Arabidopsis thaliana: one gene and its partners. The protein of the gene in region 2 interacts with the protein of the main gene of each other region in a pairwise test. Each region holds a gene or a part of one and is shown on either strand. Other genes may lie near its edges. The genes, in order: GPRI1, NGA4 and INO.

Region 1 (4,541 bases), on a different chromosome or scaffold from region 2:
GGAATTTCTTACAATTTTCTTCCTTCACGATGTATATATATATATGCCGTACGAATATTGTGAACGTGAATTCGATTCAAAAAATGTGATGTGGAAACGAGCAACAACAATTATTGTAGCTCTTGAGGACCCATAGGACGTGCATGTCCACTTATACCTAATGAGACAATTCTGTCCTTTTTTATAAGAGCATCTTCCACAGCTTAATTTGCGAGCCTCATTCACGTCAATATATAAGGGGTATGTGATACGGTAGATGGATTGATTATTTACATCCATCTACATGTAAGTTGACCAGCATAGACCTTTTACATAGTGACATAGAACCGTTGAAATGCCATCCGATTGATCAATAATGTTGGGACAGACCAAAACCAAGATACCAAAACGGTAAAGGGACAAATGCGACAATCAGATATTGAACTTTAAAGTTGTGGCTCTGATCCAGTTTGGCAACAACTTCACTTAAATTTTTGTGTTACCAACAAAACAGGGAAAAAGATTCGCTAAAAGAGTTGCCTAAATATATGTTTGAGCTTGTTGTCGATATTTTATGTTTATCTAAACAGTAAAAAAAAAAAAATTTATGTTTTATTTACCACATTTAGAACTAGGCATATATATATATATATATCTTATTATATAAAGTATGGTTTTTAAAGTTGCTAACTCATAAGATTGTGTCACGTGTCAAGTCAAACGATCAGATGTTTACATGTATCATTCAAAATTTAACTTTTTTATTCTCTAAAATTAAATAGAAAATCTTAAAAAGTAAACAAATTTACATATACTAATTTATATGTCTATATATTTATAAACAATTAACATTTATTCAACAAAAGGAAAATTAACAAATTTGTCTTTAACTCATGTAATCATAAGTGAAAATAGAACATTTTGAGAAAAATAGCTTATCTTATAGGATTTAACTTTTCAATTATTTTCATTTATTAATTTTAACTCATTTAATATTAATTTGCATGATGTAAAATTAACTTACGAGATTACGGCATATATAGAAAATATATTTTCAACAATGTTTGGTTTCTAAATATTTTGTGGATTTCTTTTTTTTATTAATTATTAGCCCTAGGCGTTTGGGTATTCGGGTCGGGTATTTTGGGTTCGGGTTTTCGGGTTTAGAAGTTTAGGACCCGTTCGGGTAATTTAAGATTTCGGGTCGGGTTCGGTTTGGGTGGGTTTGAGTTTATTTATATATTGAAATATCAAATTTTGTGTGCAAATCTATTAAATTACTTGAAAATTTCAAAAATTCCCAAAACAACACGAGTAGTTTTGCTTGAATATATCTAAAAATACACAAAATAATTAAAATATCCAAAAAATCCTAATATTTTCTATATATAAGTATAAATATAACTAATATATATTTATATTTGAAATATGTTTGGATACGTATTCGGGTTCAGGTTCGAGTTTTTTGGGTTTTGAAGTTTAGATCTGTTCGAGTATTTGAAAATTTCGGGTACACCCGCCTCAATAGGCGGGCCTTATCTAGTATATATATATATATATATTTTTGTGATGGATTTCTTTCTGTCTCTCTCTATATATAGCATATAAATGAAAATGAATTATATTTGCCTTTAAGGGAGAAGAAAGAGACTTACTTTGGATATCAAAACATGTCTTGCTCTCTATTCTAATTAAGTCTAGCCTATCTACAACATACATAAACCTCTATCTACGATTATATTTGGATCTACAAGTGAAGATTGATCGATGTTAGCTCTGTCTCCGGCGACAAGAGATGGTTGCGACGGAGCGTCAGAGTTTCTTGATACGTCGTGTGGATTCACGATTATAAACCCGGAGGAGGAGGAGGAGTTTCCGGATTTCGCTGACCACGGTGATCTTCTTGACATCATTGACTTCGACGATATATTCGGTGTGGCCGGAGATGTGCTTCCTGACTTGGAGATCGACCCTGAGATCTTATCCGGGGATTTCTCCAATCACATGAACGCTTCTTCAACGATTACTACGACGTCGGATAAGACTGATAGTCAAGGGGAGACTACTAAGGGTAGTTCGGGGAAAGGTGAAGAAGTCGTAAGCAAAAGAGACGATGTTGCGGCGGAGACGGTGACTTATGACGGTGACAGTGACCGGAAAAGGAAGTATTCCTCTTCAGCTTCTTCCAAGAACAATCGGATCAGTAACAACGAAGGGAAGAGAAAGGTGAAGGTAATGATTTTAATCATATCATCTATATATAAAACATTAGTCTTATATGAATAAAAACCCTAGCTAGACTCGATTAAATGAACAGGTCTATAATGGATTCGTATTTTTTTTAAAAGTGGATTATTCGTTTAGAATTCATTTTCTTGCTAAATCTTCTAAATTTTTCATATTTCAGTCATGTTTACAAGACTCGTGTAAAGACATCACGTGCATCTCTATAAGACTTTTTTTCTTTCAAATTATGTAAAATAGTCAGCTGCTAATTGTGAATTTTATATAGTATGTGAAAAAGTATTGAAAAAATAATGAAGATGGTGGTTATATATATGTTGGGATGTGTGTGAAGGTGGATTGGACACCAGAGCTACACAGGAGATTCGTGGAGGCAGTGGAACAGTTAGGAGTGGACAAAGCTGTTCCTTCTCGAATTCTGGAGCTTATGGGAGTCCATTGTCTCACTCGTCACAACGTTGCTAGTCACCTCCAAGTTAGTATATTTCTTTTCAATTTCATTCTCTAATATTAACCATCCAAATTAACATGTTGCTGTTATTTGGTATACTAGAAATATAGGTCTCATCGGAAACATTTGCTAGCTCGTGAGGCCGAAGCGGCTAATTGGACACGCAAAAGGCATATCTATGGAGTAGACACCGGTGCTAATCTTAATGGTCGGACTAAAAATGGATGGCTTGCACCGGCACCCACTCTCGGGTTTCCACCACCACCACCCGTGGCTGTTGCACCGCCACCTGTCCACCACCATCATTTTAGGCCCCTGCATGTGTGGGGACATCCCACGGTTGATCAGTCCATTATGCCGCATGTGTGGCCCAAACACTTACCTCCGCCTTCTACCGCCATGCCTAATCCGCCGTTTTGGGTCTCCGATTCTCCCTATTGGCATCCAGTAAGTTCCCACATTTATGAAACCTTTACTTTAGCTCTTTATCATATTTGTTTTCATCATAGTATTTAACATTATGAAAGCTGAATGACACCGAGTATTTTTATCATATGCTTGTCTTTCTAACCAGCATTTTTGCATGTAGATGCATAACGGGACGACTCCGTATTTACCGACCGTAGCTACGGTAATGAACCAACATTTATAAGATTGTTTCCGTATGTATACCCCTTTTTGTTTCTATATATATGTTTTAAATCGTATTTTTGATTGGTAATTGTATAGAGATTTAGAGCACCGCCAGTTGCCGGAATCCCGCATGCTCTGCCGCCGCATCACACGATGTACAAACCAAATCTTGGATTTGGTGGTGCTCGTCCTCCGGTAGACTTACATCCGGTAAGAATCTAATATAATGAATTGATTGTTGTCGAGTTTTGACTTTTCGCATTTGATTATGTAATTATGTATTTTTGACTTTTTGTGTATATATATTATAAATGGAACAGTCAAAAGAGAGCGTGGATGCAGCCATAGGAGATGTATTGACGAGGCCATGGCTGCCACTTCCGTTGGGATTAAATCCGCCGGCTGTTGACGGTGTTATGACAGAGCTTCACCGTCACGGTGTCTCTGAGGTTCCTCCGACCGCGTCTTGTGCCTGAAACGCACAAGATCCGTAGGCAAGCGAGAACCAAACAAAAATTCGACGACATGTCTTTCAATTATTGTACTTTTATTTTTCCAAGGGTTGTTTTTGTTTTGACCCTTGTTGTGTTAAGAGTTACTCTTTACTTAATCGTCCCATGTGACTAATAAGGAGACCCTTTTCATATGTATCTAGGGTGCTAAGTACACTCTAGCTCTATTAACGCAAATAAATTACCTATATTTTCTCTAACCATTGGTGATTTAGAACTTGATTGCTTATATAAAGTTTTTTTATAAAACATAACACAACAAATTTCCATATCAAATGATCATATGGAAATTGGAAGCGTTCAAAGCAAAGTCGCAAACGACGACCAATTGATTATAAAGAGGACAACCTCACGAGTATATATACACTTATAATTTATAAACATAACTTATACTTAAAAATACCAGCCGGTTATATATGGTGAAAAATGAGTAATGAAATTGTGTGTTTACCATGCATATATTACCGTATAAAAACGTATTGTTGGGATTGAGAGAACAATGGCATAAAATAATAATGAGGAGAGAGGGAGAGGACCACGAGATAAGAGGAGAAGGAAGTGCATGGAGGCAACGTAAAATCCAACGTAACGACCTCTTCTTTCTCCAATTGTGACCACTCTCTCTCTCTCTCTCTCGTCTCCTTCAAATTTGAATGGTCCCTCTCTCTTCATAATTGATAATTCATATACATGCGGATACTATTACTAGCATCTCATTTTCC
Region 2 (3,761 bases):
TAAAGTAAAAAATGAAAGAACATATCATACCTTTCATATTTCTTTTTTCAAAATTATCATTATAAACTGAAATTGTCCTTCCATAGCTTCTCTTTTTTGTTCTCTGTCCATAACCTACAAATCTCTTTAAACCAACCCAAGACAATAGTAACCAAACAAACTAAAATTGGACCATTGGTAGGGAAAGAGAGAGCGACACTTTTGAAACTGCCCATTAGCTTAGAATGTACCATGAAACTTTGTCAGCTTAGCTACAGATAGGCACAGAGAGTACAATTCATAAAATTTTATAAGCTTTTTTCTCCTTCCCAAGAGTATACATCTCAAACTAGAACCAAAACAAAGTTAGGATACAGAGATGAACACTTTTGATTTATGGATCGTTGTAAGCATTTAATTTGACAATATGAGTAACTATAGTTAAAAACTCAAGATTATATGAAAATTAAATGATTATTTATATTATTTATAAGCTTAATTTAACATTGAAAGATGGGGGTTTTCTATTCAACATGGTAATTAGGGCTCAAGGATCAACATGTTGAAACAAAAACTCTTAATTAAACCAATATATAGATATAAGCCCGGTTAATTTCCCACTACATATTCCCCAATTGCCAAATGATCTAATGAGTTGAAAGTTGGAACTAACTCTTAAAAGAAAATGGTGAATAAATTACTCCTTAGTTCTTATTTTATTCTATCTTCAAAGCTCTAAAGATTTCCCTTTCCTCTTATATTCTTCATCATCACTTAGCTGCATAGCCGAAGAAGACGATGCCATTTCGCCACGTGGCGACCTCCAAAATGATTGATCATCGTCTCTGATCACAACCGGAGACGAGGAAGAGTACCCTGCTACTCCCATTTCGCCACGTGTATCCCCTGAAGATGAAGACTCTTCCACGTCAACCCCAAACAGCCTCAGCTTCTTCGTCGTCGACGGCTGAGGAGGCGCCGACGGAGGTACCCTCCCCGCTGGAAAAACTGGAACCGAGTCATAAACCAACGGCTCAGATCGACCAAGATTCCACTGATGATGTTGATCCAACGGTGATCCTGCGTAGTAACGCACTCCATTACCATTAACAACTCTACCATAACCATACCCTAAATATTCCCGTTCTTGAAATTGGTTCTGATAAAACGGTGGAAAACTCCGGTATGGCATGGAATATTCCGGCGTCACCGGATAAAACCTAGCCGTTGGATATGTCGGAGACCCGAAAACGAAGTTATGATTGTTAATGTTGTGTACGAAGTTTATCTCGGCTCTAGGCCTCCAATCGATGAACATTATTTTCCGTCGTCTCTCCGGTTGTGCGTTATCGTCAGGGATGTAGCCACGGTAGAAAGAGACGGTGTCTCCGGCGAAGAGTTTCTTCTCCTTGACGAAACGGCTCCATCCTTTGGTCATCACGTAGCTTTGGCTACTGTTCCAATACGAGTAACGAAACCTCCACATCTTGCCGTTTTTGTCTTGGAAATCCAACACTGTGCCGTTTTGATTGTCCTCTAAAGGGAAGAAGTTCTCTGCATGTTGCTTTGGAATCACGAGCCGGTTTAGTTTACCGACGTCACTTGGTGTCAACACTTTGTCGAACATGTGCTCTCTCCTCTCCGAGCTGTAGAAGTAATTGGTGTGGTCGGAACTGCTAGCTCTGATCTCGGCGAGTTCTTGGTCAAGATTCATTGTTGAGATATTCATCAAAAGTATCAAGCTGTTTATATATGGGGTCTTGAGAAGATTGATGACCCAATTTCAAGATCTTTCAAAAGTATCCAACTTATAGGTTCTTGAAAAGAAGATGGACCAATTCAAGATCTTTCAAAAAGTATTCAACTTTATTTTTATGGATCTGAATGAGTGATTCTTGACAAGATCCAATACAAAATCCTTCAACATACATGAAATAATTTTATTAGAAATCAAATAAAAATCATCACCCCAATACTAAGGAAAAAAAGTAATACTTCAATCAAATAATTAAAAGTAAATGGAAGATGAAGTGAAGAACAAGAAGAAGAAAAAAAGCTATAACCAAAAAAACAAAAAGTGAAAAAGAAAACCCTAAATCCAGAAGAAGAAGACAGACGTACTCTTTCACTCTTTGTGTTTGCTTCTTCTTCTGATCTTTTCGTTGACTCCAAAAGAGAAATAAATGAAAATGAAATCAATGGTTTGGAGTTAAAAAAAAAAAAGGTTCTCTCTCTATCTTTCTCTCTAGATGACTTTAAGGGGTGAAGAAATATAGTGGCTTGAGAGAGATTTCCTCGATGATGGAGATGAAGATCAAATATTAGAGAAGAGTAAAGGGGCCCATGAATGGTGTGGTTCGGGTCATGTGAGAGCTTCTTGTCCTTTTCAATTAGCTATAGACTTGGGGTAACTCTAGCTATTTATATAGATATACAAATATATACATACATGTATTGTGTCAATCTTTTGTGAGACTATTTCCTTTTATTTTGATATCTGTATTTTTATTTTCATCTTTATTCATACCAGATCTTTTGTATTTATTATTTTCTGTTTGTTAGTTTCTTCTAATTAGTTCTTTACTTATTTTTAGCTAATTATATTAAATCATCATATATTATAACTAATTTGTGTATACCGAAGATAGAAAACCACACAAAAGTACAACATGAAGATTTATATTAACTATAACTAGATATGGCTCCACACATATGCTTACACGTGTTATTTCTGTATCAAAAAATGTAAAAAGACATGACCAAATTAAGAAAATAGGTTACATGATAGGAAGTTATATTAAATTATATTAGACCATGAAAAAATGTTTGTCAGTTTCTTCTATCTAGTTATTTTTAGCTAATTATATTAAATCATCATATATTATAACTAATCTGTGTATACCAAAGATAGGAAACCACACAAAAGTACAATATGAAGATTTAAATTAACTATAACTAGATACGGCTCCACACATATGCTTACAAGTGGAACTAGCTAATTTTAGTATCTATATATGTATATAAAAAATGTAAAAAGACCATGAACAAATTAAAAAAATAGATTACAAGATTGACACTAGACCAAATAAATAACTTTTTAATCTATACATGTAAGAAAATCATTAAAAAAAAATAATATTAGGTTTCTAGATAGACATTAGACCAGCTATATTATTAGTAAAGAAAATTATTAAATTAATCTATAATATAATATTAATCTGAAAGTTATGGAAATATTACTTTTAATAAATTTAAAATTTAAAATATTTTTTCTCTATTTTAAAAATATAAACACTAAAACATATTCATTTTATGTAAAATTATAATGAGACACTGTAAATTCTAATGAATATCTTAGTTTTTTTAGGTTTTTCCTAAGAATGCTGAAAAAAATAAAAATTCATTTAAACTTTTTAGAAATGGTCTTATAAGAAGGTTTAAGAATTTCTTATAAGACCAATTAGTAATTTCTTATAAGACCATTTCTGAAAGTTTAAGAATTTTACTTTGGTCTTTTGGATTTTTATTTATAAGAATTTATTTACTTTGGTATTTACCATTGATTTAATTCTTAAACATTTTCACAATGCTTTCTTAATACCAAAATAAAACTCTTAAACGTTTTCACCTGAAATTGTTAAATCAATGGGAGAAAAGGTTCGAAACATTTCTACAATGTTTCTTAAAACAAAATAAAGGTATTTTGTAAATTTTTATAACTGTGATAATTTTAAATTATAAATCTTAATTATTCAAGATTTTTTCAATTACTTACTAGTAAA
Region 3 (4,422 bases), on a different chromosome or scaffold from region 2:
ATTGTGGCTGTAGAATTAGGACGTTGTGTTGGAACAATTCTTTGCGACATTGTTTTAGTTTTAACCTGGATTAGTGCAAGGCAAAATTTAGCCATTATGTTGATTCTGATCATATTCTTACACCAATGTCTTGAAGTTTTGTTGTTGTTGGCTCTGATAACTTGTTTGCTAAGATAAGTTTAAATTCTCTCAGATATTGATTATGTGTTTGACATTAACGTGCGTTTGTCTTTGCACATTTTATCGTCATTTCACAGCTTCTATTTATGTTAACAGTGAGATTTGACCAATCTATAAGCTGTCATGTAAAAGTTTGAGACTAGAAATGAGATGTATATCAGTATATATGGAGTAAAAGACTGTTAAACCAGAAGCCATAACTATGATTACAATGTATAATTTTAACCTCTAATCTCTCAAATCACAAATGTGTACCTCCTACTCAATTACTCATCAATAGGCTTATGAAAATGGATCGAAACTTATTAATGGGTCGGTAAATTATGTGATCTCTCAAAATGGGTCGAAACTTGTTCACTCCGGGGTTGGGTCATTGCATTGGATTCCACCCACACAAAAATTACAAATGTGTAGGAAATTGAGTAAATATTAGTATTATGTTTAGTCTTTTTCTTGTGGTTGAACACAAAATAGGAGATGAGAGTAAGTGAGAGAGAGAGAAAGCAATAAAGAGAGGGACAGTAGAAATAACATGACACAGAGAGAAAGCACTGAAACTTGAAGAAATAGAGAGAGAGAGAGAGAGAAGAGTTTGGGTAAAATGGTCAAGAAACAGTTAGCAAAAATGTGAGAGAAGAAAGACAAAATCCTAAGATTCCGAGTTACTAAAAGTGATGAGTCTCCTAGAAACACCCGCACTAGTCTCAACTCACTGCACTTTCATTTTCAGTCTCACTTCAACCAAAACTCCAAAAGACTGTTGAGTTTTGTGAGAGATTCATTAAATCCCATTTAAAGAGACAACTACACATGAGACAAAGAGGCATTTCTTTCTCAACCTCACTTGTTTTTTTCTTTCTTTCTAACTTGCAAACCAAACCACACCACCACATCACATCATTTATTAACCCCAGCTCTCTTCGATGTCTATCTATCTCCTCTTGTGCAACGTGCCTTTCCATTTTCACATGTTCATTTTTAATACTCATACTCTTTACCATCGATTTTTATCTCTTGTTATTTTTTTGTTTAACCTAGTGTTATCTTACAATAACACATATTATCTTGTATGCTTATTTATCAGAAAAATCCTGAAATGGTTTTTGAAGGGAGCTTATATATTTTCTGTTTATAGGTTATTAAGTGTTTTAAATTGTTTTGACAACAAAAAATGTCTCCTCTAATGGTAAACGCTCAAACGTTATGTATCATTTGTCATATATATTTTGTGAGTGTGACATAACATAAAAATCTTATAACAATGCTTTTGTATAACGAAAATTCTTAATTAAACTCCATCATCAACAAAAGTATTATATACATCATTTTATTTTATTTTATTTTAGAGAAGAAAATGTAGTTTGAATATTAAGGAGTTAGGAATGTGATTAATAGAAAGAATGAGAATCATTTACTGCTTACAGCTCATAGAGACTATGAAGATTCCAATTATTACAAGTGAGATAGAGACGTACATAAGTTGAATTGTATTGTGCATTTTAGCATATAACCAAAGCATTCCACATGAAAGATATAAATATAATTACATATTTGCATTAATGAATATTAACAAAACCTATCTCTCTGTCTATATATACACACACACACACACACATATATCTCCTATCATTCATCGTACACACACACTCTCTATGACAAAGCTCCCCAACATGACGACAACACTCAACCATCTATTTGATCTGCCGGGGCAGATTTGCCATGTCCAGTGTGGTTTTTGCACCACTATTTTGCTGGTATACCTTAACTTCTTCTCTTATTCTCTCCCTTCCTTTCTCCCTTCCTCTCTTTATATATATGATCATGAGTTTAATGAGTGTAAATGTGTTGCAGGTGAGTGTACCGTTTACAAGCTTGTCAATGGTGGTGACTGTGAGATGTGGGCATTGCACAAGCCTTCTCTCTGTCAATTTGATGAAGGCTTCCTTCATTCCTCTCCATCTCCTTGCTTCTCTCTCCCATCTTGATGAGGTTTCCATAACATCTATACATAGACAAACACACACCATCTAAATATGACCAATATATATATATATATACTTACTTTTGATTATATGTAAATATATGTGCAGACCGGGAAAGAGGAGGTTGCAGCTACAGATGGTGTGGAAGAAGAAGCATGGAAGGTGAATCAGGAGAAGGAGAACAGTCCAACGACTTTGGTTTCATCTTCAGACAATGAAGATGAAGATGTGTCTCGTGTTTACCAAGTTGTCAATAAACGTACGTTTGAGTATAAATTCAACTTAAACTTTAGTTTTGCGATTTCTCCTTTCATCAGTCGTCTAATTATGTTTTGAGTTTGTATATATATAGCACCTGAGAAGCGACAAAGAGCTCCTTCAGCTTACAATTGCTTCATCAAGTAAGAAATAAATTCAACACATTACATGTGTATGTATATTATATATATTCTTACAAATTTAACCACTTAAGGTTTTGAGTTTGTAAAATGGTTCTTCTTTGGGGGTTGTATTGGAGCAGGGAAGAGATCAGGAGGTTAAAGGCTCAGAATCCAAGCATGGCTCACAAGGAAGCTTTCAGCTTAGCTGCCAAAAATGTACTTAAGCTTAATTAGTCTTAAGATTTAAAAGAAAACCCTAATATAGTTTTCATCTTTTTGTTAGCTTAATTGACAGATCGAGTTAGCTAATAACATTTTATGATTTCAATTTTTTGATTTGGGGATGGCGAAGTGGGCCCATTTTCCTCCAGCTCACAACAAGAGAGCTGCTTCAGATCAATGTTTTTGTGAGGAAGATAACAATGCGATACTACCATGCAATGTTTTTGAGGTAATCCTCAGCAACCATTTATATTTTTTAATCACTTTCGCTTCAAAATCAATTACCATATTCTTGACAAGTAAACTCCACAACAAGTGTCATTTTCCAAAGCAAACCAAATAATTAAAGCATTAACTAGATCCAAATAGCATCGCTCTCAGTCAAAATTTCAGAACCCTAGCTAGACTAATTATATAAAGAGAAATCATTTACTAATTATTAGAGTGAAAGCAAGGAGAAGGGTAAGTGAGATTGTGAGAATATATCATTGATCTTCAACTACTACAATGTGTGAAATTTATGACCTAAACCCTTTTATAGTATTGAAGCTTACACTGCACACAGTTTACTTTTATAGAAACCCATTCAACTAATTTAAAACATTGAAGCTGAATATGTATAGTTTTCAATTAATATACCAAATAATTGTTGAAATGTTTGTGATGCAGGACCATGAAGAAAGCAATAATGGGTTCCGAGAGAGAAAGGCTCAGAGGCATTCCATTTGGGGAAAATCTCCATTTGAGTAATAACAATTTGGGATATGAAAATTTAACAAAAAAATAAATAATGGCGTATGACATGTGATGGTGACTCTTTTCTTCTAGGGTTTGATTATGTTGGTTTAGGGTTTCTGTTGTTGGAGAGAGATAGAGAGAAGAAGAATCTGAAACGGAAGTAGGATTTGTGTGTGTTCGAGAAGAGTCCTTGGGAATGAGCGAGTTTGTTCAGTAATTTCGTAGTACTTGTCAACTTTGAACTTAATTTGAAGAGACATGCATTGACTCTATAAAAAAAATTCTACTTTTGCATTCATGACTACTCTTATTCCATGAATGTTTTAACATTCCATGAAACAGTACTTTAGTAAGAATCTTTGTTAACCTATCATAATAAAGATCCTTCTTGACTTCGCGCGCTCAATGCTTTTGTACGTACGATGGAGAAAAACACTTACTAAAAAAAAAACACTTTTTGTTTTGACATTTGACCTTTCTAAGTTACTTTTTTTTTTTGTCGTCTGAAAATTTATTATAGAGATTCCGGTGAAATACAAAAGTGAAATATAAAGCCGGCGGTTAACAAGTAACACCAGAAAACTAAGCCGACGATTAAAAGGATAGTCTTGGAAGCAAAACCCAAAGGAAAGGGAGACAACAAGGCAAAACAAACCTTACAAACAAAGCAAAGTTGCGAAACTGAAACAAAGAAGCAGACCAAAACAACCAAAATTTTAAACACAACATCTCGTCAACCACATTACCAGACAAAGGAAAGGCAGAGCTTTACAACAAGCCACTCCGTAGGAGACAAGGAACTCCCAACCAAACGGACAGCGGTGCCACCTATTACGATGAAGACTACCTTACATAGAAGAGTTCCAAGGAATCCATACCGGCGAGAAGAACTAGGCCAAAGACGACAAGTCACACCTACA

What was found.
Region 1: the proteins of NGA4 (region 2) and GPRI1 interact in binary tests that used the Arabidopsis thaliana proteins (3 or more experiments, as listed by UniProt).
Region 3: the proteins of NGA4 (region 2) and INO interact in binary tests that used the Arabidopsis thaliana proteins (3 or more experiments, as listed by UniProt).

The regions. Positions count from the first base shown.
Region 1 is NC_003071.7:8,853,740-8,858,280, forward strand, and holds GPRI1 (GBF's pro-rich region-interacting factor 1), read left to right. Parts: upstream 1-1,618; 5' UTR 1,619-1,746; coding exon 1,747-2,211; intron 2,212-2,278; coding exon 2,279-2,326; intron 2,327-2,557; coding exon 2,558-2,698; intron 2,699-2,776; coding exon 2,777-3,121; intron 3,122-3,263; coding exon 3,264-3,305; intron 3,306-3,403; coding exon 3,404-3,517; intron 3,518-3,627; coding exon 3,628-3,783; 3' UTR 3,784-4,017; downstream 4,018-4,541. UniProt on the Arabidopsis thaliana protein: Transcriptional activator that functions with GLK2 to promote chloroplast development. Acts as an activator of nuclear photosynthetic genes involved in chlorophyll biosynthesis, light harvesting, and electron transport.
Region 2 is NC_003075.7:637,738-641,498, reverse strand, and holds NGA4 (AP2/B3-like transcriptional factor family protein), read right to left. Parts: upstream 2,253-3,761; 5' UTR 2,101-2,252; intron 1,898-2,100; 5' UTR 1,709-1,897; coding exon 707-1,708; 3' UTR 523-706; downstream 1-522. UniProt on the Arabidopsis thaliana protein: Regulates lateral organ growth. Functionally redundant with NGA1, NGA2 and NGA3.
Region 3 is NC_003070.9:8,315,591-8,320,012, forward strand, and holds INO (Plant-specific transcription factor YABBY family protein), read left to right. Parts: upstream 1-1,706; 5' UTR 1,707-1,739; coding exon 1,740-1,934; intron 1,935-2,031; coding exon 2,032-2,169; intron 2,170-2,270; coding exon 2,271-2,421; intron 2,422-2,514; coding exon 2,515-2,563; intron 2,564-2,682; coding exon 2,683-2,758; intron 2,759-2,894; coding exon 2,895-2,993; intron 2,994-3,433; coding exon 3,434-3,514; 3' UTR 3,515-3,901; downstream 3,902-4,422. UniProt on the Arabidopsis thaliana protein: Essential for the formation and the abaxial-adaxial asymmetric growth of the ovule outer integument.